Linked DNA regions of Neodiprion lecontei. The protein of the gene in region 1 interacts with the protein of each later gene in a biochemical or structural test. Links are inferred from orthologs where the notes say so. Each region holds a gene or a part of one and is shown on either strand. Other genes may lie near its edges.

Region 1 (6,232 bases):
AGCTTTCCCGCTATTGTAACAACTGACTGTAACTTGTCGTCGCGCAATGAATTATAGCAACGCGATAGCGCGCTCTCGCATTTCAGCCTTGCGCAAATTTGATGTCCCAATTATCATCGGCAATATAGTAATATTGTCTTTATTTTTCACACAATTACCATGATTTTCACGCGTATTTATTGTAGAAGCGAGGGGGTTGGAGTATCAGTTATATTTAGTTCGGCAATTGAAGACTAAGATATCTCGGAACGTTTAACAATCGGAGAAGGTTGTGCTATTGTTCTTTGATATCGAACGACACGCGGGAGTTTAAAACTACGACAGTTATGCCGTCGAGACGGTATTACAAGAAGTGGATAACACCGGTATCCAGTTTCGTAGGCGTGTTCAAACTGCGCCGAGCCCGAGAATTCAGAGGGCATGCGTCTGCTATTTTCTCCGCTGACTCGACGCGTACAAGGAGTGTATAAAAAAACTGTTCAAGAAGGGGTGCTGGACACGTGAATGAAAATTCGCACGAGTAGGTGTTTGTCATTCGTTTATCAATCTCATTCGTACGTTAATTCCATATTCAAACTGAAATACTTTAGGAGTTACGAATTTTTGCCTGTTAGACAAGATTCCTTCTCTTGCAAAATAATAACCAGCTCCCTGCCCGCGCTGCCGTATACACTACTGGCCTTTTCATTCGTGGGGTATTAGGGTACCAACCCACTGAACTGTAACATGACTGGAACGCTGAATGCATTGGCTAGGGATAGGACTAACCCATGGGGCTGAGGGTGACTTCCCAGGTGCACACGGAACACGGATTACCGAAAGACGGAACGGTAAGCTTCCCTTGAGAACGGTCAATTCTCCGTGGCATCCGGACTGTTACTTTTGTCTTCTGCTTGTAAATTTCGTTCCGCAGCTCGTTTTGCTACCTGTTCCATGTAACTGAAATAACGGAATGGACCGTGCAAATGTACTTTTTTTATTTGCATCATATCTCAAGTACAAAGGCACGATTAATTGAAATAAATACAAATCAAACCAAAATCCATTTTAGAATTGTCGGAGAAAAGCAAATGGACATCGATTTCGCGTTGTTCTGTTCCATGAATATGCTACGTGGGACAGTTAAAAAAACCAGAATCGGAACGGAACGACAACACACCCCTGTCTTCTACGGCACAAGCTTATGTACCGAATACATAGGATACATAAATCAAAGAGGATTAGGGGATACATAACCTCTGTTGAAACGTACGTTAACTCATAGCTCTGGGTTATTTTTCCCAACAGTTTGTCGGGTCTGGCCGGGTTTGGGGGTATTAGCAGTTTCACTTATTATCAACCAAGCAACTGACACGTCGGCAAAAGAAGTTCTTGATAACCAACAACTATCGCGTACAAAACGTTGGTAATATACCCTTGTCATCGTGAAATTGAAAAGTTAAGAAAATCTCGCACAAGAAATATGTACACCGAAATTATACGACGGAAAAATAAATATTATTGAAATACATGAACGTGTATCGTTTATATTTACATGAATATATCAAACTTCTTACAAAGGATACTAGTCTAATATCTAAGATGCCCAATTTATTTTTTCAAAGTTTTTTTTGCAAAGACAACTTTAAGTTCCAAATTTTTTGAAAAAAATTTTACCCACTCCATTTTTAGTTCCAATCGTTTCAAAAATCTTTCAATGAAGAATTTTGTTTTGCTTTGTTTAGCACATTTAAAATTATGAGTTGAAAAATTCGATACCTCAAGTTTTGATAATATCCGAAGAATCCCGAAACACTTTTCTCTTTGTTAGAAGCACGTTGAAGATATGTAGAAGGTTGAATCTATTTGATGAGTTTTCCCTAAATTTGGAAGCGGTAAATGGGTTTTCATCAAGAGAAATTACGCAAGATTTTAAATAAATATAAAAATGAATCTATCGTGATGCTTGTTACAAATTAGCTGAAGAATAAAAAACTTGTGGATTTATTTAAAATTTTGATAAGCTGTTCAAATTGTCTTTCCGTATTACAACTTTTTGGAAATGTAACGAAAACGGCTAAAGAAAATCTCAGTTTGCCGCTAAAAACGCACTGGCTTTAAATAAGCCTCGAGAATTTAACCTTAAATTGAAGCATAAAAATAGTAGCCATATATCTTAGACTTATAAGTACATAAGTTACATATAAGTACAACTTTATAATTTCATCCCTTTATTATACTTCCTTCGGCTATTTTTCTATTGTTCATATCAAGAACTAGTTTCTAACAGTCAATCGTATGTGTGTATGTTGTGCACGTATTCTAACAACATTTTTTTTGTCAATGTGATTTATTGGAGATGCAATTAGATTAATTAACATTGCTGAAATCGGCTGAAATGAATTGCCTCAAATGGATTTGCAGTGTGGAGGGTATACGGCGTCTAACCATGGACCGAAACTAACTGGCAGTGCTAAAACTCTAAAACGGAGACAGAGCTACTCACGAACTTGGCAGCGCAAGAGAGATAAAAGATTGTTGACAGCACTGGGAGCTAATTTCGGAACGCACCCACAGAAGTTTACAATACGACGTCCTGCGACCCATCAGATGGCGCTCGCCTCGGTGAACATGTGCGAAAAATGGCGGAGAATATGAATTTTCTTTCTTGCAGGTCTACTCATTATATTTCAGTGACCTCCTGCAGCGTTAGATTCGTGCAAAGGTTCAGGGTAGGGAATGCATTACACCAAATAAGTAACGCCACTTAAGATAACAAAAGAACTGAGTTGATCATTTTCGTCTTGTTTCGATCTTTCTCTCACATGATTATAAACAAAAAGTTGCGTTTGTGCAACAGGTGCTCGAATCCGACTGATTGAATGCGCACGCGTTGTTCCCCTTCTTATATTAAAAATCAGTCGTTCGCGAATCGCGTTTCAAGAGTGAGGTAATTTTGGCGGGCGACGAGTTGTGCGAGCCAGTTAATTAATGTAAAGCTTGTGATATCTAGTGATACTTACGAGTGACGTTGAATAGAAATTTAAGATTATTGTTTTTCAAGTTTGTGTCTGAACGCACAAATCGGTAATCACAAATTTCAAAGTTTGAACTGTGGTAATGCGTCTAACCTTCATTGACAATTGTCAACGATGCCTAGATACGAGCAAGCATTTCACGACGTGTGTTCACTTGCGAGTTCCAGTCGAGTTTCAGATAGAAAGGTATGTTTCATACTTTTAAACAGGCGCTATTCACAATTCCAGCATATTATTTTCCTCCTGTCGTTCCATTAATTATGCGAACCATATATTAGATTGTGACGCTCAATAACAGCAGCTACAAGTTGTCTGTGGTCAGCAGCCGAGTATGTCAATTATGATTAAAGTCACGGGTGATGCTCAACAATAAAAATCTTGTGAACTATCACGAAAAACTTATGCAGGATATGAAATGTAAATTAGTGCTAAATTTTATCTAAAGTCTGCATAAATTTTACTTGTTGATACTAGATTTTATTAAAAATTTATTCCTTTATCCAACATTTCGTTTATTGAGAGATCATGTTGAAACTTTTATTTGTTCTGTCTCCTCACATGCTGGATTTTATAATCATTTTATGACTCTATCTTACAGAAATGCATTGTAAAATTAAAAGAGCTGTATGACAGTGCCGAAGCTATAGAGGAACTTGATACAAATTCAAAGACTCAGAATGGAACAGCAACTACTTGGACTGCAATTATGTACTCTGTACATAAAGTATTGTTACATGTAAGTGTTTTGAAAGTACTTTCTAGTCTCGATAAGTTTTTATTGTGAATTTATGTTCTGTTAAATTAAAGGAAGTATTTATATGCACTACAGAGTGAAACTTTACGGGATACTTTAGTTATTCTAATTTTTTCGGAAAAATTCGTGATTCGCAAAACTGGCATATTTAGGATGTATCCATTGTGCAAATAGACGTAGTGTTAATCACATGCTGAATTTTTATACTGTGTGTTTTGAAACCATAAAAGTGAAATTGTGGCATTCTACTGTGCCAATTCATTTTTACGTCCAAATTCCATATTAAATGGGTCAGTCAGTGTAGGATGGCAGAATTACCCCTGCATCCGCTTTACGATCGTTATCCTGCGGGGTGTCAACTGAATTTTTTTGGTTACATCATCAAAGCAGTCCTAATTGAATTACTAGGTTACTAGAAAAATCCTACTTTCAGGCTGGAATACCTGGAAAAGTCTGCGAACTTCGGATTCCAAAAAGCATACGAATCCTAACAGTTGCCGGCTGATTGGTCACAACGACACTCATCATCTTTGTCTATTGATACAAATCACACAGTATAGAACTTTTCCGATTCATCTCAATTCTGAATCAAACTTATTGCAGCCTCTCAACATAGCTCACGAGCTTTGAGGGGAATATATTTCTCAGAATCTCGGTTCCTCCTCTCTGACTACAAATGCTCATTCTCGAGAATTAGTTACTTTATGCAACTTTTGAATGATTTTATGATATTTACCAAGACCCTTCAACAGAAAAGCTCTACTACAGCTTCAAGTGGTGTCAAATGATTGCAATCCAATTGTGATATTGGGTTTATTAAACTAGTTTCCGGGGTGAACAATCCTTTGTTCACCATAATATTAAAGTACAAAATAGTAGCAGTCAATTTTTATGACTGTCGCATAATCGCATAAAGTACAGAACTTTTGTAGCATTTTTTAGTACATCAGTCTTTATATCGACGATAGCAAAAAAATTTATAATCAAAACTCGATTCAGAAGGGATGTTTCAAAGATAATTTGCAAAAGATCCGTTGTGCATGAGTTTCCATGGAGAATTTTTTTTCCTTTAATATCTGGTGTCATCATACATTATGAATCACTGAAATGGGCACTAGAGTTTTGCGACTTTTTATAACAAGACAGTCACAATGATTGCTTCCATTGTTATCATGTTATTGGTTATTATTAAAGATTTTTCGTCTTATTAAACTCTCCAATGAACGTTTGAAATTTAGTCAACACTATCTCAAATTGTTAATATATATATAAAATTTTATCAGTCAACGTATATTATCATCAGAATAACACTGTTGTGTTTCTGATTTTAAACATAGGAAGCAGAGAGATCAATGCGAGTGGACGATAAACCATCAGGTTCCACATCTAAACTATCACGAGCACAGGAAAACAAGGAGTCCGTTCAGCGAAGTAATTCGATTACTATATTGGACACAATCAAGAAAGCGAACAGCTCTGAAATATTTCTAAAATGTGACGACCTTGTGGGACTGATACTTCAAATTTTTTCTGATCACAAATACATGGATTATCAAAAAATATACCTCACTATTTTGGTGAACCATGTACTGCCGGTTAAACAATACCAAACTAATATGTCATCTGGTCATTGGAAGGAATTGTTGGATAGTTGTATTGGATTGTACAAAAACCCACATCCTAACATTGACAAGATTTTAATTTTGAGGGCAATTTGTGGCATAGTACAACATGGCTGCACACAATCACATCTTGCTCTAAGGTTGAAAGGGATTCTTCAATTTTTAGGTATTGAATTGCATCAAGTCCAAATTGTACATAAGGTTTCTCATTCTCCAAACCAAGTATTCAGGGTCAGTCTTAATTGCTCACAGTTTATGCAAGCAAGAGGGATTAGTCACTATGTAAACCTGATTTACACTGATTACAATTACAAAGGTTACAAGCTGATTTCCAAGATCACAAGCTGATTACCAAGATCATAGAGATTGCAAATATTACACAGATTATAAAATGATTAAGAAAATTACACAGATTTCCAAGACTAAGTGACTATACCAATTATAGTTACAAAAAATTACACAGATTATAAAGAGATTATACAGATTACGAAGATTAGAAGGAAAGACAAAGATTATAGAGGATACCAAAATATTGCAAAGATTACAAGTGGCCACAAAGATTACAAGAATTTCAAATTCGGCGAGGATTTCTAGATTTGAAAAATAACATGAAGAATACAAAGAAAATACAAAACACTACGAGGTATTATCAAGATCACAAGTATCCTAAGAATTACGATTCCCAGGATTACAAATATTAATAGTTATTACAAAGATTACATGCGGCAAAAGGACTACAAAATAGTCTGAAGATCACAAGAGATTTTTTAAATTACGAAGATACCATGAAGAATTTAATGAGATCATCAAAGATTACAATCGATTGTAGAAGATTGCAA
Region 2 (7,668 bases), on another chromosome or scaffold:
CTGTTCAATTCATAAGGCAAAACCTAGGATAAAGATAATCCGCATCTATCGATGGAACCCTCACGAGCCGGGAACGAAACCCTACATGCAGCAGTACGAAATCGACATGAACAAGTGCGGTACAATGATTCTGGACGCCCTGCAATTAATAAAAGCGGAGTACGATCCGACCCTAACTTTTCGAAAATCATGTCGCGAGGGAATATGCGGTAGCTGCTCGATGAACATCAACGGGGTGAACACCCTGGCCTGTCTAACGTAAATCTTAACAGTAACGACAGCCCGGTGGTATTGGGATAAGACGTATCAGCATAATTTACGTAGTAGCAGAACGAATTGATCGATCAAAGAATAATATTTCCGTAACAGGAAACTCGACGACAATTCATCGAAACCGGCGATTATCTATCCCCTGCCCCACATGTACGTAATTCGGGACTTGGTGCCGGATCTTTCGCACTTTTTGAAACAGTACAAAATGATAGAACCTTGGCTGAAACGGCGGGGCGAGGATCAGTACATCGGGTATCGCCAGACGCTGCAAAGTCAGCGTGACAGAAACAAACTGGACGGTTTGTACGAGTGCGTGATGTGCGGATGCTGCACCTACTCGTGTCCCCCTTATTGGTGGCTCGGCGACAAGTATCTCGGACCTGCGGTCCTGATGCAGGTCAGATAATCGCACGATTGAAAGGAAGAGGCTGAGAAGAACGCGAGTTAATTCGGATGAAAATTTTACAGGCATACAGGTGGATCATCGATTCAAGGGACTTTGAGCACGAGGAACGGCTCGCGAAGCTTCGGGATTTTTATTCGGTTTTTCGCTGCCACACTATTTTCAATTGCACTAAAACGTGTCCGAAGGTACGGGCGTATAAGTATAGGTGCAGGTTGATTTTTTACGCATGACGGATTTCTTCTTATACGATAATTATTCATTTCCTCAGGGATTGAATCCCGGCAAAGCGATTGCCCAGATAAAACGGCTACTTGCCGGTCTTACGAAAAAAGAAAAACCAGACATGCAGACGCCGCTGCCGGATCCGTGCGCTGGACCCCCCCCAAACGCCAATCCCCATGCGGAAAAATGAATTGATGTATGTATAATATATAATCGAACATATTTATATGTGGTAATAATTATTCACCCTGTACTTCTCTCATACCATAACGTTGTTGTCACCGTGGGACGTGATTTTGAATACAAAATTCTTTTCTACGTTAACACGTTGTTTACTTTTACATATTTTTCTCACAATTACGAGGATAATTTTTCATTTAAGATTAACGAGAAATATTTTCAACGAGAATAACCGTACGAAATGCTTCGTTATTTTCACCTAAAAATAGTCTTATAATCGTTTATTTAATTATAGATATGAAAATAATATAATTAAAAAAAAGTGATAATTATCGTTTAGAGCTATGTATTGCTTCACTGAAAGCACAACTTAACACTCAAGTAATATTGTATTTATCAGGTATTTTTAACAGAGTTTAGAAAGACTCGCGTCAGCACGAGTATAACAAGTGAAGAAAAAAAACCTACGTCAACTTGTCTTTGTACTGTATTAGCCATTGATTGGGGCTACGTCTATTACTTATCCCCATGATTCGTCATCACATCAAAACATTTTGAGGACTACAAACAAAAAATGTTAGGGACTAGCTCCTTCATTCTAACACTGTAACACTCAAAGTTTTCTTTTCGAACTTTCATTCCTTTCGGAACAATGTGTCTTCCGTGTAACTAGTACAATTTTTAACACAACAGTTGGAGATCACGCGAAAAATCAAGTTAAAAAAAAAAAAAAATAGAAAGTCTTCACCGTTTGTTCATATTATTTACACGTCTGACTAGGTACGACTTCGATCACAGCATTTAAGCTTAAGGATAATACTTTTGTTTTGTTCGGTCTTTGATTCTATTTTACTTGTAAAATTAGTTTTGCATAAGTAGAGAAAAAAGCTACACCTTTTTGATACCCTGATCATTGGTCGGTCCACAACTTTACATAAACGAGGAAACTTACTGAGTGAAACGATAAATTCCTAAATCATAATTATTCCGCGCAACGACCCACCATGGCTGTTACACGTTGATCTGGTACGTAAGTTTAATTACTAAGTATTTTGAACAAGGTACTCAGTCACTCTACGCGCGCCCTCTTCAACGCGGCAGTCGGTGGTTCTATTCTTTGTCGTCTGAGACCTGGTGTAGCCTTAAGCCTAGATGCGTGTACAACCGCTGATGCAACTCCTGAAGTTGATGGCACAGAAAACGGTACAAGATTTTCGTTGTATTCGTCATTTTCGTTCATTAGTTCGCTAACAATGCTTCTCACTTCCCTGTCCAGCAGCCATGGATGGCGTACGACATCCTGAATGGTGATCCGTTTACTCGGATCTACAGTCAGCATACGCTGAATCTGAAATGGATTTTATGAAATGAGAAATAATTTTAAAGGCCAGGAGATTTTTATTGCTTTTTCGAAGGTATTGACATACGAGGTCGATGGCACGCAAGGAAACCTTCTTAAACCGCTCTCTCGGAAATGAGTAAATTCCTTGAACAATTTGATGCTGCAATGATATATCTTTGGCATTACTGATGAATGGTACCAGCCCACTTAAACAACAGTACAGAATTACGCCCAAACTCCATACGTCTACCTAAAATGTAAAAAGTATTGTCAGAGAGTTGTTCCGCCCTTTGCAACTTGTGTGTGATAGACAGCAGAGAGAGGTTAAAAAATCTAAAAATTTTACGGTAAAGAATGTAATTACTTCAAACATTTTGATTCAGGAGTTATTTTGTTATTTCTCTTTTAATTAACACATGTTTATGAAAAATTTAAATACGTAACTATTCAGCAAATGAACATAAAATTCTTGGCAATTACTCACCTGGTTTGTGTACGACCCTTTTCCGTGCGTCAATAATACTTCAGGAGCCACGTATAGTGGAGTGCCACAAAAAGTGCGCATCATAGTCTGAGTGTCCACCAGCTTTGACAGACCGAAATCTGTCACTTTAACCAGTGTTATTTCAGCGTTAGTAGCCAACAGTATATTTTCTGGCTGTGAAAAAAAAAGAACAAAATTTATGTAGATATAAAATATATGAGAAGAAATAGATTTGAGTGCCTGGAGTCCGATTCGCGTGTTATAATACCTTCAAGTCTCTGTGGGTTATCCCGCGTTGGTGTAGATAGTGAACGGCGAGAACGACCTGGTAGAATATTACTTTGGCAATTCTTTCGCTCAATCCAGAACGTTCCTTACGAATCCTATCAAATAGTTCACCACCCTCCATCAGCTCAAGGACAATATAAACCGACGACGGGGTGTCTAGGATTTCTTCCATCCTTATTATGCAGGGCTGCGAAGTGTCCAAGAAGTGTTGATGAAATTTATTATAACAGGCAAATAATTCTTACAAAAAAGATGTAATTACTCACATGCCTCAAGGCCTTGAGTATGTGAACCTCATTGAGGATCTTCCCTGGATCGTTGAACGGATTCCCTCCATCACAGCCATGAAAGTTATTCTTAGCGATAGTCTTGAGCGCAAACTTTTTGCACCCGACTTTAGTATAGATCATTTTCACCTCACCGCACACACCAGAACCAAGCGTTCTTGATACAGCGTACTTGCATTTCAATTCTGGAGGCAGGATACTATTTTCTGATCCGCTGATACTCATAAAAGTATAAACTGTAAGTGAGAAGAGGAATAATGGATTTGCTTCTGTGACTTTAAATAATTTCACTCATAAGCTTGTACCTTTTTTCTCAGCCTGAGCCAGCCCGATTACGTCACCGTGTTCTAGAATAATTCGTTTTCCTTTTCCCACAAGGAGCTTATTAACAAATGTACCGTTGTGGCTTGTGTCCTCCAGGTAAACCACCATGTCATTTGTTCCAGGGCTAACAATTACCCTTGTTATTCGAAAGTGCAGCTTGCTAATAACACCCCACCATTTTTTACTGTCAAGATGTTGTTCCGTCAGGCATATGTTGCAATGTGCCGCACGGCCCAATGTGTACTCATTCATAGTCATTTCTGAAACAAAGAATTTTAAAAATACTGTACGAGTATTGAACTCTTCCGTCAATTACACAAAAACATTTCTGGATACTGGTGCTTGTCCAGTTGAGTTGGAGGTAGAAATTATAGCCGAGCTCTGCAAGATCAATGTGCGACTTTAATCTCCTTTTCCATACGAAATTTGACTGCTCACCGACTCTCTGCAACCTGTCACTGCTCGGGTAAAGCATTCCCCATATCTTCTGGGAACCTTGGGACCGTGGTTCCTGTTCCTGGCTCTGCGGGGTCAAGATGTCGGCATTTTGGGTGTCCGGTAAGGTAAGCGGTAATTGATCCTCTGTAGCCATTGCGATAGCCTTTCTGCTGGTTTGGCCCGACCGTCAAAGGCACCAACAGGTTGGAGGTGAGCGAGAACAACAGCGTTTAACTTACGGACACGTGACCGGCTCGAGAGGTTATATTTGTGGCTACAATTCCAAAATCAAAATCTCAAACATATAAATCGAAGTTCGGCAAAGCCGAGTTCGAATACCAAACTATCGGCAAGCTTCAATACGACAATAGACAATGGCAAATAGCGATTTCGAGTGAAAAATATGTGTGCATATTTACCATTTAAGTGTAGATAAATTACGACGTGGTACAGACGATTCTTCTCTGACATGAAATTATTTGGAGGACATTCGCCTGTCGCTGTTTTCGCTTGGGCGTCGAAATAACAAGCTTGAAATTATAGGGTCTCTTCCTTTTTTCTTCTCACCGTTTCAGTTTACATATTTCTTACATTTCAGTGTCCCTCTCACAATCAAAGCTTTCATTGTCAACAAATGGATGAATGCGGACCAGGCGAATGGGATTGGAAAATTGAAAGCTTTTACTTGTATATGATTGGCTCGTTTCTCGAGTTGTATATGTGTTGAACGCAATTATTGGCTCATAGGATCACGCGCAAGGAATTGTGGGCGGGTACAATTTTCAAAATAGTAGAATTGCGCGCCACGAACGTTGCCTGCATGCATGAAGAAAACACGAGCGTAAACTCATGCATGCGTTCAGGTTTTTTAAAATAAATATCAGTAACTACAGGGTGGTTCCAGAAAGTTACAAAAAAATGTATAAAATTAGATGTGTGATAATCATCAAACGCTAAGGATCGATCGCGTAATGTGATGAAAAACAATTTAATCACATGGTTTAACATCATAAATAAACAATGCTTATACATTATATCAACACAAATAACAAAACTTATACATTATATCCACGAGGCCGTAATTTCACGTATCCATTCCAAGTAGGGGGATATTTTTACGTATACAGCCGGATAGCCTGAGGGCGTGCAGCCATAGGTCCACGACACGAATCCCATGGCAGTGTCCACGGCGAACGAAGGTTGAAGGTCCCTATAAAAGAAGGGCCCTCCTTCGTCTCCGCGACATGCCCTACGATCAAGTTTCATTTGAGAATCGGTCCTCGCCTCTGTTTTCGCTTCGTCGTTGGTAGATAAAGCGCAGAATTGATATTCCTCGTGAATGGTCAGGTGCCAAGGTGCGTATATTTCGCGGCAGAGATCTCCGTCGATGATCGTAACCTCGGCGCTTCGCAAAACATCGGGTTGTATCACCGTCTGCGAAACTTCACCCCATCCGACGACAACACCGCGAGTCCCTGATGTAGACTCAGCACTTGACCTCGCTAGCCCGATTGGCTGAATTGTATTTGAAAATTCAAACGGATTTCTCACCTGTACAAATAAAATAATGACCAAGACGTTATACGACCTTAATTTTTCGAGCATTTCGTTTACATTTTAAACATTTATGCCCGTTTCCTCCGACACGGTTTAAACGGCGTTCAATTTTTTGTTTACAGTTTGAAGATAGGCTGAACTTACATTAAACTTAGATTAACGTTGGAGGAATCAGGCCTTAATAGCAAAGAATTGGCTCTAATTGTGCCAAAATCTAAATGTATCTGTATCTGTTGTAAATGTTGTAAATGTATCTGTATCTGCTGTATCTCACCTTGACCAAGGCGACGTCGTGTATCAGAGAATCATCCGGGGCGTAATCGGGATGAATAACGATCTGACCGATGAAGTACTGGGTGCCTCCTTGGCGCAAATTGTTTGTCCCAGCCAGCCAATAGTAGCGTCCCACATCTTGAACGGCGCTTAATTGTGAAAATACAGATAGTTATCGTGATTGCTGGAATCGAAATTTAGACCCTCGTATACGCCTGTAAGTTATACGTTTGGTAGAACGTAGTAGGACCTGTGGAGGACTAACCTTATATTGAAACGAGAACGTATTCTAGACCTAAACTTGTCCGATATTTCCGTTTCTCCCACGTTTAGGTTCAAAGTCGGACATCTTTGAAACCTCTACAGGTCTTCTGTAGCTTCAGACCTCTACGGGTCTTCTATATCCTCTATATCCTAAAGATCTCTACAGGTCCTTTACCATAGAATGTGCAATTTCAGTCATTGAATATTAAGATCAGTACTTGAATTAGATTTCGATATTTAGATTGATCGACATGTGGTTACTGATACCAAGTGTTAATCATAATATCAATTATTATACTTTCGTAACCTTGGTCCCGTATCGCATCTAATTATTCAGAGTAAGCGGAATAATATAATCACCAATCTAGATACTACTGCAGTAGGTTTGAGGACCTCAAGACATTGAACAGGCTCTCATATGAAAGGAGTATCACATAGAGTACCAGAATAGGTAATAATACGTGTAAGATCTACCAGGGGTCCAACTATGAAAAATATAGCTCTCTCAAGGTTCTGAATAGAGCGTGAGGACCGAAAAGTCTCAAATGAGATTCTGCTGAGTACCTGCAGGCTTACGGTAGAGTCTAGATTTTGAGTCGGGTGCACTTACTCGGAGAGTATACGGATTTATATCATTAAAATATGCGTTATACTCACTCCTCGACACAATGGGCAGCAGTGATAACCCAGTTTTCAGTGACAACGAATCCGGCGCAGTAGTGCAAATGGTAAACGTTTGCCCAGGAGGTCAGTCCCAGAGATAGAATGAAGGAGAATTCCCCGAGGGTCGTCGATTCGCCCGCAGCGATACGACTGCTTCCAAAACCCGTTGACGCAAACTGCAGGACGGTCAGCAGCTGTAAAGCAAAGAACGTACAAGCTCGAATCTCCATTACGATAAAGTGGCTGAACTGTTAATCGTTGCATGCCCCAAAAAAATCATTTGTCGATCTTATCGCGGGGGTTTAACTAATCACACCGTTAATGTGATCGAACAGAGAAGAATCCCGCTTTGATAAATCGCCGGATTATACGCGTATCGCGCTAGGTACAAATATCTTAGCTATACGGTTTGCAAGAAGCTGTATAGACACAATTAACTAATTTTCAACGTTTTCGATTTAAAAACTTGAATTTGAACATCGAAAACTATATTTTGTTAATTGCACGAATAAGAGAAGTGTTAAGGCTGCTGTGATCCATACTTATAAAATGGAAAACTGCTGACAATATTTAGGACCTGGAATTCCTTGTTCTCCGTACATCCTGCCGCAGGATGGTCCCTTAACCCTGGTGCCTGTAGATATAAGTTGACATCAAGCCGTGTCCC
Region 3 (9,094 bases), on another chromosome or scaffold:
TAAATCAAAGCACCATTACTTTCATGTTGCAAATGGATCTTATGTATAATTACTTACACGTGTACACGCAAGACGTGAATAAATATATATTAGGTATCTAGATGAAACGATGAGTCACACGCGGAGATATAAATAATGGCTGTTGCACAAGTAAGATGAATGTCTCAGATGTTCGCTGATGGAATCAGCAGATCGGAAACGCGGCATTCCAACGGCTGCGAAAAATTCTGAAAATACATCTGGATTATGGACTGACGCATTTCAATATCTGGGCATGTATTCAAGGAAGAAATGCTCGTTGCTGGAATGCGCTCCTATCCGTACCGGTAGAATAGATTGGCAATCTTTAGAAAATTAGATAAATTTTGTACAATTTTGCGGGCTTAAAACGCTTTGAAACAATAAAATAGATGTGAGTAATCTTTGAATTTGGTATACAGTAGTAACAGTTGGCAAAAAACTTGAAACTGAATATTCGGTATTCTATAAAATGATTGTTGCAGTATGCACGAGAAAAAAAAAATAAACAGTTAAGAAGGCTAATTAAACATTTATAAATTATTCATTTTTTGATAAGATTATAACATGGATATCAACGCATCTGTGGTTGTAGGTATATCTAAATATTGAAAATACTACGAAATGGTTAAAGAATTTTTATAAACTTTTATAATAACCCATAGACTGTGTCTCCTTATAATATTCTGCTTAGACTACAGATCATAACACAGATGATACGTGCAAAAATACAGAACAAACATAAGGAAATAAAATAAAAATTGACATTAAGTATTTCGTTACGTTCTCCAAATGTTATTACCAGGAAACCCGAATCCCTAATCCCAACTTTTACGTTGAAGATAATTTTACAAATTCATAATAGGTGCTGGGGGGAAAATTCCTGCGGGTTCCCGTTCGACCGCCTGTGAATTAGTTGGATATTCTGTCAAGTCAAGTGTTAGGACTTTGCTCTCTAGACATTCACCAACCTGTGAAACAGAACAGGCCGTTAGTAACATCGCCAAATAGACGTATGTGAAGATAAATCACGAAAACTCAATTTTTGCACTTTAGAGTGCTATACACGATCGAAATGAATCTCATTTTTATTTCATGTAGAAGCAAGCGAGACACTACGATCGCGGATAGAGTCGGGATCGTGTGCGGAACAACTTACGTCAGGGCAGATGCCAACGAGCGCATCTGCGTGAGAGTAAAATTCTTCCTTGAGCGAAATAACAATCGTCTGTAGAGAGCTAGTCTTGTCACGAATGTAGCTCGCTACTTTTCCAATGTTCGTATTGTCCAGGGCTGCGTCGATTTCGTCCAGAACGAAAAAGGGTGCTGGCTGAAAGCTACGACAGTAAAAGAATTTATGACATCGAAGCATAGAGATCCTAGATCGAAAGGAAACCACACCGAAACTTCAACGGGTTTAGGCCGTTTTTATACCTTCACCAACTTCTCGATTTGACTTTGAAAGCAATTACCTATGAACGGCAAACAGCAACGCCAAGGCCGCAACCGTTTTTTCACCACCAGAAAGGTTGGACATTGGCTGGAATCGTTTACCCGGAGCAACGCAATTGTAATTAATACCATCCAGATACGGCTCTTCAGGATTCTCTGGTCCAAGGAATGCCTGGGCGGACTGGTTCTTTGCTAAAGACTGATAAGGGTCGAAAAACAGTCAAAATATAAATCAAAAGTGAAGCAAGAATGTTAAATCTGTACACGGTAAGAGTATGTAGACATATATTCAGTATTTACCTTATAGATCGGGTCGATTTCATTGGCGACATGCTCAAAACATGCCATGAACCTATCGTGTCTCTCTTTCTTAACCTTCTCGAACTGAGTTTTAGCTTTTTTAGCCTTTTTACGGGATTGTTCGAACTCCTCATTCGTTTCTTGCAATTTTTCCTTAGCCGCATATAACTTTTGCAACGCCTATATCGAGAAGTATATTTATTCCAAATTATCAGATTCATTTCAGACCTAGAAGTGACCTGAGTCAAGTTAAATTTAGCTCAACAATAAAAATGTAAATCCAAACCTTCATATTTGGAGCTTGTATTCTCTGTATTGTTCCCTGAAGCTCGTTTATTACTCTATTGAGTTTGTCATTCGTCTTTTTAATATCGTCATCGTCTATGTCCTTTAGACTGTCAGGGAGAAGACCGTAGTCGATGGTGATTAAACTTTCCCGTTCGTACTGCTGTTGAGTATTCAATGTAGAGTCTGTGCCTGTTTCGCTTCCAGCCACAGTACTCTCTTGTGTGATATCCTCCATGTTCCCACGCAACATGGGTATTGCAATGTCTTCCATCTGAAAATTGGATGATGATTTTATCGTGATTTTCAAGGATGTAACTAATTAGAAAGTAATTGAGATACCTTGTGGATATCTAAGTTACCCACCTTGCATTGCATCAAAATAGCATGTCGATCTGCTTTCCTTTGTTCAATCTTTGATTCAATTGAATTTAGCTGTTTTTGCGCAGCCTGAACTTCTTTTGCAATAGCACCAGCTTCACGTCTTGCCTTTCCAATTTCCTCCTCTTCCTGATCCATCTCTAGCTTTTTGTTAATACGAGTCGATGTTAATTTCTTCATTTGTACCTCGTCATTTTCTTTCTCAGTCAGTTGATGAGACTCGGTTTGACGAGCCGCATCTAGTTTATCTTCAGCATCTTGAACCATTCTTTCCCAGCGAAGTACATTGCCTGTTGTTTTGTAGAATCAGATTAAAATTAATTCCCAAGATATTAATTCATTAGGTATTTCAAAATTGGAAAATGAAAAATATTCTTACTTTCGGTATCTTTTTGTTTTTCAAAATCTAACTGGTTCAAAATACGATTTGTTTGGTTGTCGAATTCCATTCGTTTCTTGGCACGCTCTTGCTGTGATCTGTGACACGAGTGTTTGGTATTTAGATTGAACATGAATTTCATTGTGATTCACTCATAAATTGATACCTAATGATATCAGCAATTGTGGAACGATTGAAGGACCAAGGATCAAGGATTATGCTGGATCTGCAGGTATTGACAGACGTTTGGGAGATAATTGCTGAATAGCATTGATTTTATTCAAATTAAGAGGGCAAAAAAAAAAAAGATGGTACAGGTTCCTGGACTCTACCTCAATTCTCTTTCCTCGTACTGACGAATATTGGCAACACCGATCTGTTCGCAAAAGTTGGCAAATACATCGTCCTCCACACTGTTCATTTTTTCCTTGATAGCTTGGATCTCTTGATCTCTGGTGGCCATTGTTTTTTCAATATCGCTTATTGTGGGCTACAAAAAAGTATATCAATACAATTAATCGATTATCATGGGAATATTTCTCCCAATACTCATCGATTACTCACACCAAAGAGATTTAACTCATTTTGTAGTGCCTGCAGCTCCACTTCGAGATCCGCTATTTGCTTTTTCTACGGATTAAATTAAAATAGTGAACGTGATTTGCCAAAATGGTTAAAAACTAATTGTATAGCCGTACTGTCCACTTACCGTTGTTACCAAATCATTTTTATTGTACTTCAGGCGGGTCTCAAGTCCCCTAATTTGAGAATCGACTGTATTAAGTTCGGATTCTTTGCGAGATTTCTTAAGAGCCTCTCTTAGTTCTTCTGTGAGTTTTTCCTGAAAATCAACGAGCGCATCTCTAGGTTGTTATTTTATGGTCGTCAACAATCAGATGTGTGAGCATTTAATTTTGGTAGTGTTACCTTCCGAGATTTTAACTGTGACATCTGTTTTTCGTCCCATCTTTTTGCTTTTTTTGCCAAATCCAAACTTCCACCCGAAATGATTCCAGCTTTCTGGTAATAAGTTCCATCAAGTGCGACACACTAAATTGAGTAAATAAACGTGAGATTTATATTTCGCGATTTTTTCTTCATATGCATTTACTTACATCGTATCTAGTTTTTTTGTCCATCTCATACGCAACTTTATTGGCGTCTTCGGGAGTTTCACAAACCAAAGCATTATTAGTGGCGAATAAAACAGCTCTATCAATATCCTTTGGCGAAAAAGCGAGAACGTCGTATAAAAGCTTGACATTCTTGGGCTCTTGAATGTTTCTGCAAAATAATTATTAGCACCATGTAGAATTGATAAGCAGTAAGATAATTTTCACATTCCAGAAATCCGAACGGCGTTTAACATACCTAAGTCTGCCCTTCAATGGCTTTGCTTGAATATAATCAAGTGGTAAGAACGTTTCTGGTTCTAAATATTGTTCCTTAAGATACTGTATGCACTGTCTTGCTGTCTTTTCAGTATCTACAACAATAGCTTCCATGTACTTCCCCAAGACCTTGGTAATAGCTACGTTGAATCTTTTGTGGATCGGTTGGCACATGTTGATCATGCGGTCGTACTAAACCAAATAAATAAAATAGAATACAGTTTTACCACCAAAACAATGGACATTTTTTACTCACCACACCAGGATAAAGACGTTTGAAATTTTCAACAATTTCTGTCTTCTTTTTGTTCCTTGAAACCTCGTGCTTGTCAACTTTGGCATCACCAAGCTGTTCAGATATGTTTTCCAACTCGCGCTGTATCTGTTGTATCTTGTCTTTGGATGTTCCCACATCTGATTGTAGATCAGCTCTGAGCTTCTTCTGATCCTCCAACGCAGCTTCTGAAGTTCTAATGTGCTCCTCAAGCTTTTCTACACGCTTTTGAGCCTCGTCTCTCATGTGACCTTTCTGCTTGTGCTTATTTTCAACGTCTGTTTTTTTTCTACCCTCATTATCAAGCCTGTCTTGGTCGGATTTTTGCTGACGATTAATGGAATCGAGCATCTGCAAGTAGCGTGCTGATTGTTTTCCCGCCGCTTCTTTCAGATTATTATACTCTCGGACCTTGAATCATTTTTAAATAATATTAACCATACCAATTTTTCTGGTTTAATGTTAAAAAATTTATATTGCACATTTTACTCTAAAAATATACCTGTTCATCCTCAAGCTGTACGTCTCTCCCCTGTGACTGTGATTGTCCGGCGACATTCGCCTCATAGGCACTTTTAGCTTGCTCAACTTGGGACAACTGGTCGTGAAGCTCCTTTATGTCTTTCTTGTGGGCTTCGTCAGCAGTACGAGCAGTTGCCAAAGATTTGCGAGCAGATTCGACTTTTTTTTGCATGTGAGTGACACGCTCTTTTGCCTTGATGAAAGTGGGCCTTTTTTTGGATATCTCTGCTTCCATTTCCCTAATATCCTGTTCAATCTTTTGATATTCACGGTTTAGTTTGCCAGCCTCTTTTTTCTGCTCTCGCAATTTCTCATCCACTTTTTCCTTTTTCTTCAATATCTTATCCACTTCATGCTGCTTCTTTTTAAGAGTGTTTTCTAAATTTTCAATCTCTTTTTCATTGTGAAACAACCTGAAGAGCTGTAACTCCACCTGCTTTTCTGCCTGATGTTGATAAACAGAATGAAGAAATCAAAATATGTGTAGCCAAGAGGTAAATTTGGGGGAAAATCAAGTTGTTCAGTCCACTTACACATTCTTCTTTTAAACGGTGGTATTTCTCGGCTTCTTCCTTTTCTAATTTTGCCTCCTTTCTCTCAGCAGCTACACCTTTCTTTTTTTGATAAGAGAACTGTGTCTCTTCTTCCGCTCTGAACATCTCACTTCTGAGCCTGAGTGGGTTTGAAATATAGACATTGAGTACAATGTAATCAAACCGTTTTGAGCTACAATTCGTGAGTAAGAAATTTCAGATTTACCTTTCATATTCAGTTTTCAGTGCACCCGAATTGCTGATCTCTTCGAAAAGAGCTGTTCGTTCTTTGGGATTTTTCATAGCTATCGACTCCACAGCCCCTTGAAAGACGAGGAAATTCTTAGCCTTCACATTTATCCCAAGATGTTCCAACTCGTTAAGGTACACTTGACTAGTTACAACCTACAGGATGCAAGATTGGTTTAAGAAATTACAAAATGAGAAGATTGCACATTTTAATTATCATTGATTATTCACACACAAGCTTTGAAACCTAATGATCTACTTTGATGAATTAAGGGACAAAGATGTATTTGAATTTAATAACTATGAGTAATAAACACACCATATTATCGATACGATGCTCGGAAGCGGAGCCTTGCACTGACCGCATGAAACTCTTCTCAGTACCATCTTCCATTTTAAATACAGCTGTAACCGAAGCACTGAAAGTTAAACCGATCAACAATTAAACATATGGTAATCTAAAGGCTAAATGAGAGATAGGTCAAGCCATTGATGGCAGAGGCACCATTTTCTTCAAATATAAAATCATGAAGTTAATTAATGTACTGTTCAAGTCCAATTCCATCCTGATGAGTATTTATACCTTGAACGCTATCTTTTGGACTTACCCCCATACTCATTCATCCTATTTTACTAAAAAATGTCATGACTATTTGCCTTTACTTACCTTCGCTTAACGGGCTGACCAATTGAAGCACCATGGATGAGCTCACTGAATCTTTTTACTCTAAGGCTGCTAGTTTTTTCTCCCATGACAAAACTGATGGCATCCATGAAATTTGATTTGCCTGTAATTTGACAGAGTCAAAGATCTGAAAATATGTTCAGTAACGACGTTGCAAGCTTGAGATCATGACAATTTAGAATTTGGTAGGAAGGTCTTACCGGATCCATTTGGACCTACGACTGCCGTGAAGGGCTTAAGTGGACCAATTCTAAGTTTTCCCTTGTAGGATTTGAAGTCTTCGACTTCAATGTAACTCAGAAATGCTGGCATCCTGGTTATGGTTGTATCCAATAACCTGTCAGATGCGAACCGTACGGATCACCGCGGTTATTGTTTACTAGTGTCCACGCCTCTCGAATCTCCACTAAAATACTAACCAACAAAACATGAGTGTTGACACTGAAAACTATTTACATGTCGCAGCCAAACGTAAATATACCTCTAACGAAAAATCATCGAAACCGTAGCTCGTGGCAGGCGCGAGACGCCACAATGCTGACGCTACGACGCTGAGAAAATGAATACAGAAACGAATGTCCAAGCGCCAGAATCTCCGTTCAACGTTCCGATCAGTCTGATGTTTTGTCATATATCACCGCGGTAACCGTGGCGGGAACTATGCGCGGGAGTTGAAACCACTTTGGAACCATTTTGGAATACTCACCACGAATCCTCCTCTGCAAGTGCGTTCCGAAATTAGCTCTCTGTGCCTGAGAGGATAATTTGTGAACATGAGGAGGTAAGAAGCCGACGGATGAGTCATTCAGGGTCATTGCTTGCTACGTCCGACATTTTCATACCTATGGTCGCATAGGCAATATCGTCCATATATCGTCACAGTGTTACGCGTGTGGATAGTGTATCCACAAAGCTGCATGTAAAGCGGTTTGTTTATATTGATAAAACCTATCGATACTTGTTGGAGGTGTTAAAGATAGAAAAAAATAATGTCTGCGACAATTCAGAGTTGCGTCGACAGTTCTGTCGAAGGGGATGACTACGGAGATGCCTTTGGTTACGGAAGGTAAGTTGGAAAAATTTTTATCAAATCTACCAAATGTAACCCTAACCTAATATAACCTTCAAATAGAACTGAAGTAAGATTGTTTACCTTTAATTTCCTTCAGGAGCAACGCGCAGTCTTATGGAAATCAATTACAAAATAGTCCGACAATGCGCTACGCGACTCACTACAACATGAATCATTCCAAGCGAGGTATAGCTCTGATTTTTAACCACGAATCCTTCACCATAAATCACCTCAAGCCCAGATCTGGCACTAACGTTGACTGTGAAACGCTAAGGAACTGTCTAGTCAAACTTGGATTCGAGGTCAAAGATTTTCAGAATCTAATATTCAAGGATATTCAGAAGAAACTAGAAAAAGGTTTGTGTGTCATCAAATGCTTGATCCTGTTTTACAAATTGCCAACTCATCCTACAAGAATTTTCATCACTTATCCTTGAGGCATACTAACATGAGAAATGAATCAGTTTCAGAAATGGATCATTCAGATCATGATTGTTTAGTTGTGGCTGTACTGTCTCATGGAGAGCTGGGTATATTATACGCCCATGACACTCCTTACAAAGCTGACACAATTTGGTCATACTTTACCGCAGACAAGTGTCCGACACTCTCTGGTAAACCTAAAATGTTCTTTATCCAGGCATGCCAGGGAGACAAATTAGATCCTGGTGTTAGCCTCAGAGAACGCACAGAAACAGACGGACATGGTTCCCAAAGTTTTCGCATACCAAGCCATGCAGATTTTTTAATAGCCTACTCGACCATACCAGGTAATTACCATTGTCATTTGTAGGCTTTGTAAGTACATTGTTAGCAATATTTATTTCATTCTTCTCTTCTAGGTTTCTATTCTTGGAGGAACACGACCCGAGGATCCTGGTTCATGCAAGCTTTGTGCTTGGAGCTTTGCGAAAATGGCTCACGATGGGATTTGCTAACACTCCTGACTTTTGTTTGTCAGCGCGTTGCAATTGATTTTGAATCTAATACTCCTGACAATATTACTATGCATCAGCAGAAACAAATTCCATGTATCACTTCAATGCTGACACGCCTAGTGAAGTTCACATTGCCTAAGAACGGAGTTGCTGCTAATTGATGCACGAGGTCAAGATCGTTTTAATTCAATTTGCCATAATTCTTGACTGAGAACAGTTTTTATCAGCTATGAATATCCTTCGCTCTATTCGACGGAAATTTTTCATCCCAGGTAATAATCTGTAACATCTTATTCCATTAGATTAGGTTACTTCAGTGACTGCACACATTGTTTGTCATGAACTATCTGCCGTTACTTGCTCACATATACAGCAGTTACTTAAAGCATATTTTGACGATGCCATTTGACACAACAAAAAATGCTTATAATAGCCACAAATAACATGACACAAACGAAACAATTCAACGGACCAAAATCGAATGTTATTTACTAGAACAACTTGAATGAATTTGCATTGCTGGAAGTATTTGTGAAGTTGCGATCAGGACAGAGCATTGTAACATTACTTAGATCTTATTACTTTGAGGAGACTTAAGCGACAACTGATGGCTAA

The links.
Region 2: of the proteins of serine-protein kinase ATM (region 1) and ovarian-specific serine/threonine-protein kinase Lok, one has a biochemical effect on the other in vitro, tested with the Homo sapiens proteins (6 studies listed by BioGRID, with this or other methods). The link is inferred for Neodiprion lecontei from reciprocal best matches to the Homo sapiens genes ATM and CHEK2.
Region 3: the proteins of serine-protein kinase ATM (region 1) and structural maintenance of chromosomes protein 1A form a complex in vitro, tested with the Homo sapiens proteins (2 studies listed by BioGRID and IntAct, with this or other methods). The link is inferred for Neodiprion lecontei from reciprocal best matches to the Homo sapiens genes ATM and SMC1A.

What each region holds. Positions count from the first base shown.
Region 1 is NC_060262.1:22,818,734-22,824,965, forward strand, and holds the start of serine-protein kinase ATM, read left to right. Parts: upstream 1-2,660; 5' UTR 2,661-3,131; coding exon 3,132-3,203; intron 3,204-3,615; coding exon 3,616-3,753; intron 3,754-4,940; exon of another isoform or gene 4,941-4,945; intron 4,946-5,108; coding exon 5,109-5,559; exon of another isoform or gene 5,560-5,624; intron 5,625-6,232.
Region 2 is NC_060264.1:3,788,163-3,795,830, reverse strand, and holds ovarian-specific serine/threonine-protein kinase Lok, read right to left. Parts: upstream 4,847-7,668; 5' UTR 4,664-4,846; intron 4,519-4,663; 5' UTR 4,399-4,518; coding exon 4,245-4,398; intron 4,067-4,244; coding exon 3,788-4,066; intron 3,719-3,787; coding exon 3,462-3,718; intron 3,383-3,461; coding exon 3,176-3,382; intron 3,082-3,175; coding exon 2,908-3,081; intron 2,674-2,907; coding exon 2,509-2,673; intron 2,430-2,508; coding exon 2,151-2,429; 3' UTR 1,123-2,150; downstream 1-1,122. Other genes in the region: succinate dehydrogenase [ubiquinone] iron-sulfur subunit, mitochondrial-like, read left to right, coding at 17-258, 370-670, 742-864, 948-1,091; trypsin-1, read right to left, coding at 5,307-5,795, 6,076-6,223, 6,996-7,195, 7,579-7,668. UniProt on the Homo sapiens protein: Serine/threonine-protein kinase which is required for checkpoint-mediated cell cycle arrest, activation of DNA repair and apoptosis in response to the presence of DNA double-strand breaks.
Region 3 is NC_060260.1:1,031,132-1,040,225, forward strand, and holds structural maintenance of chromosomes protein 1A, read right to left. Parts: upstream 7,163-9,094; 5' UTR 6,951-7,162; intron 6,884-6,950; exon of another isoform or gene 6,807-6,883; 5' UTR 6,782-6,806; coding exon 6,670-6,781; intron 6,573-6,669; coding exon 6,452-6,572; intron 6,204-6,451; coding exon 6,104-6,203; intron 5,941-6,103; coding exon 5,762-5,940; intron 5,675-5,761; coding exon 5,536-5,674; intron 5,448-5,535; coding exon 4,983-5,447; intron 4,892-4,982; coding exon 4,463-4,891; intron 4,399-4,462; coding exon 4,187-4,398; intron 4,100-4,186; coding exon 3,931-4,099; intron 3,866-3,930; coding exon 3,743-3,865; intron 3,657-3,742; coding exon 3,525-3,656; intron 3,446-3,524; coding exon 3,380-3,445; intron 3,306-3,379; coding exon 3,148-3,305; intron 2,914-3,147; coding exon 2,816-2,913; intron 2,727-2,815; coding exon 2,422-2,726; intron 2,330-2,421; coding exon 2,057-2,329; intron 1,951-2,056; coding exon 1,771-1,950; intron 1,670-1,770; coding exon 1,491-1,669; and 6 more. Other genes in the region: caspase-1, read left to right, coding at 7,459-7,535, 7,639-7,898, 8,006-8,311, 8,384-8,640. UniProt on the Homo sapiens protein: Involved in chromosome cohesion during cell cycle and in DNA repair. Central component of cohesin complex. The cohesin complex is required for the cohesion of sister chromatids after DNA replication.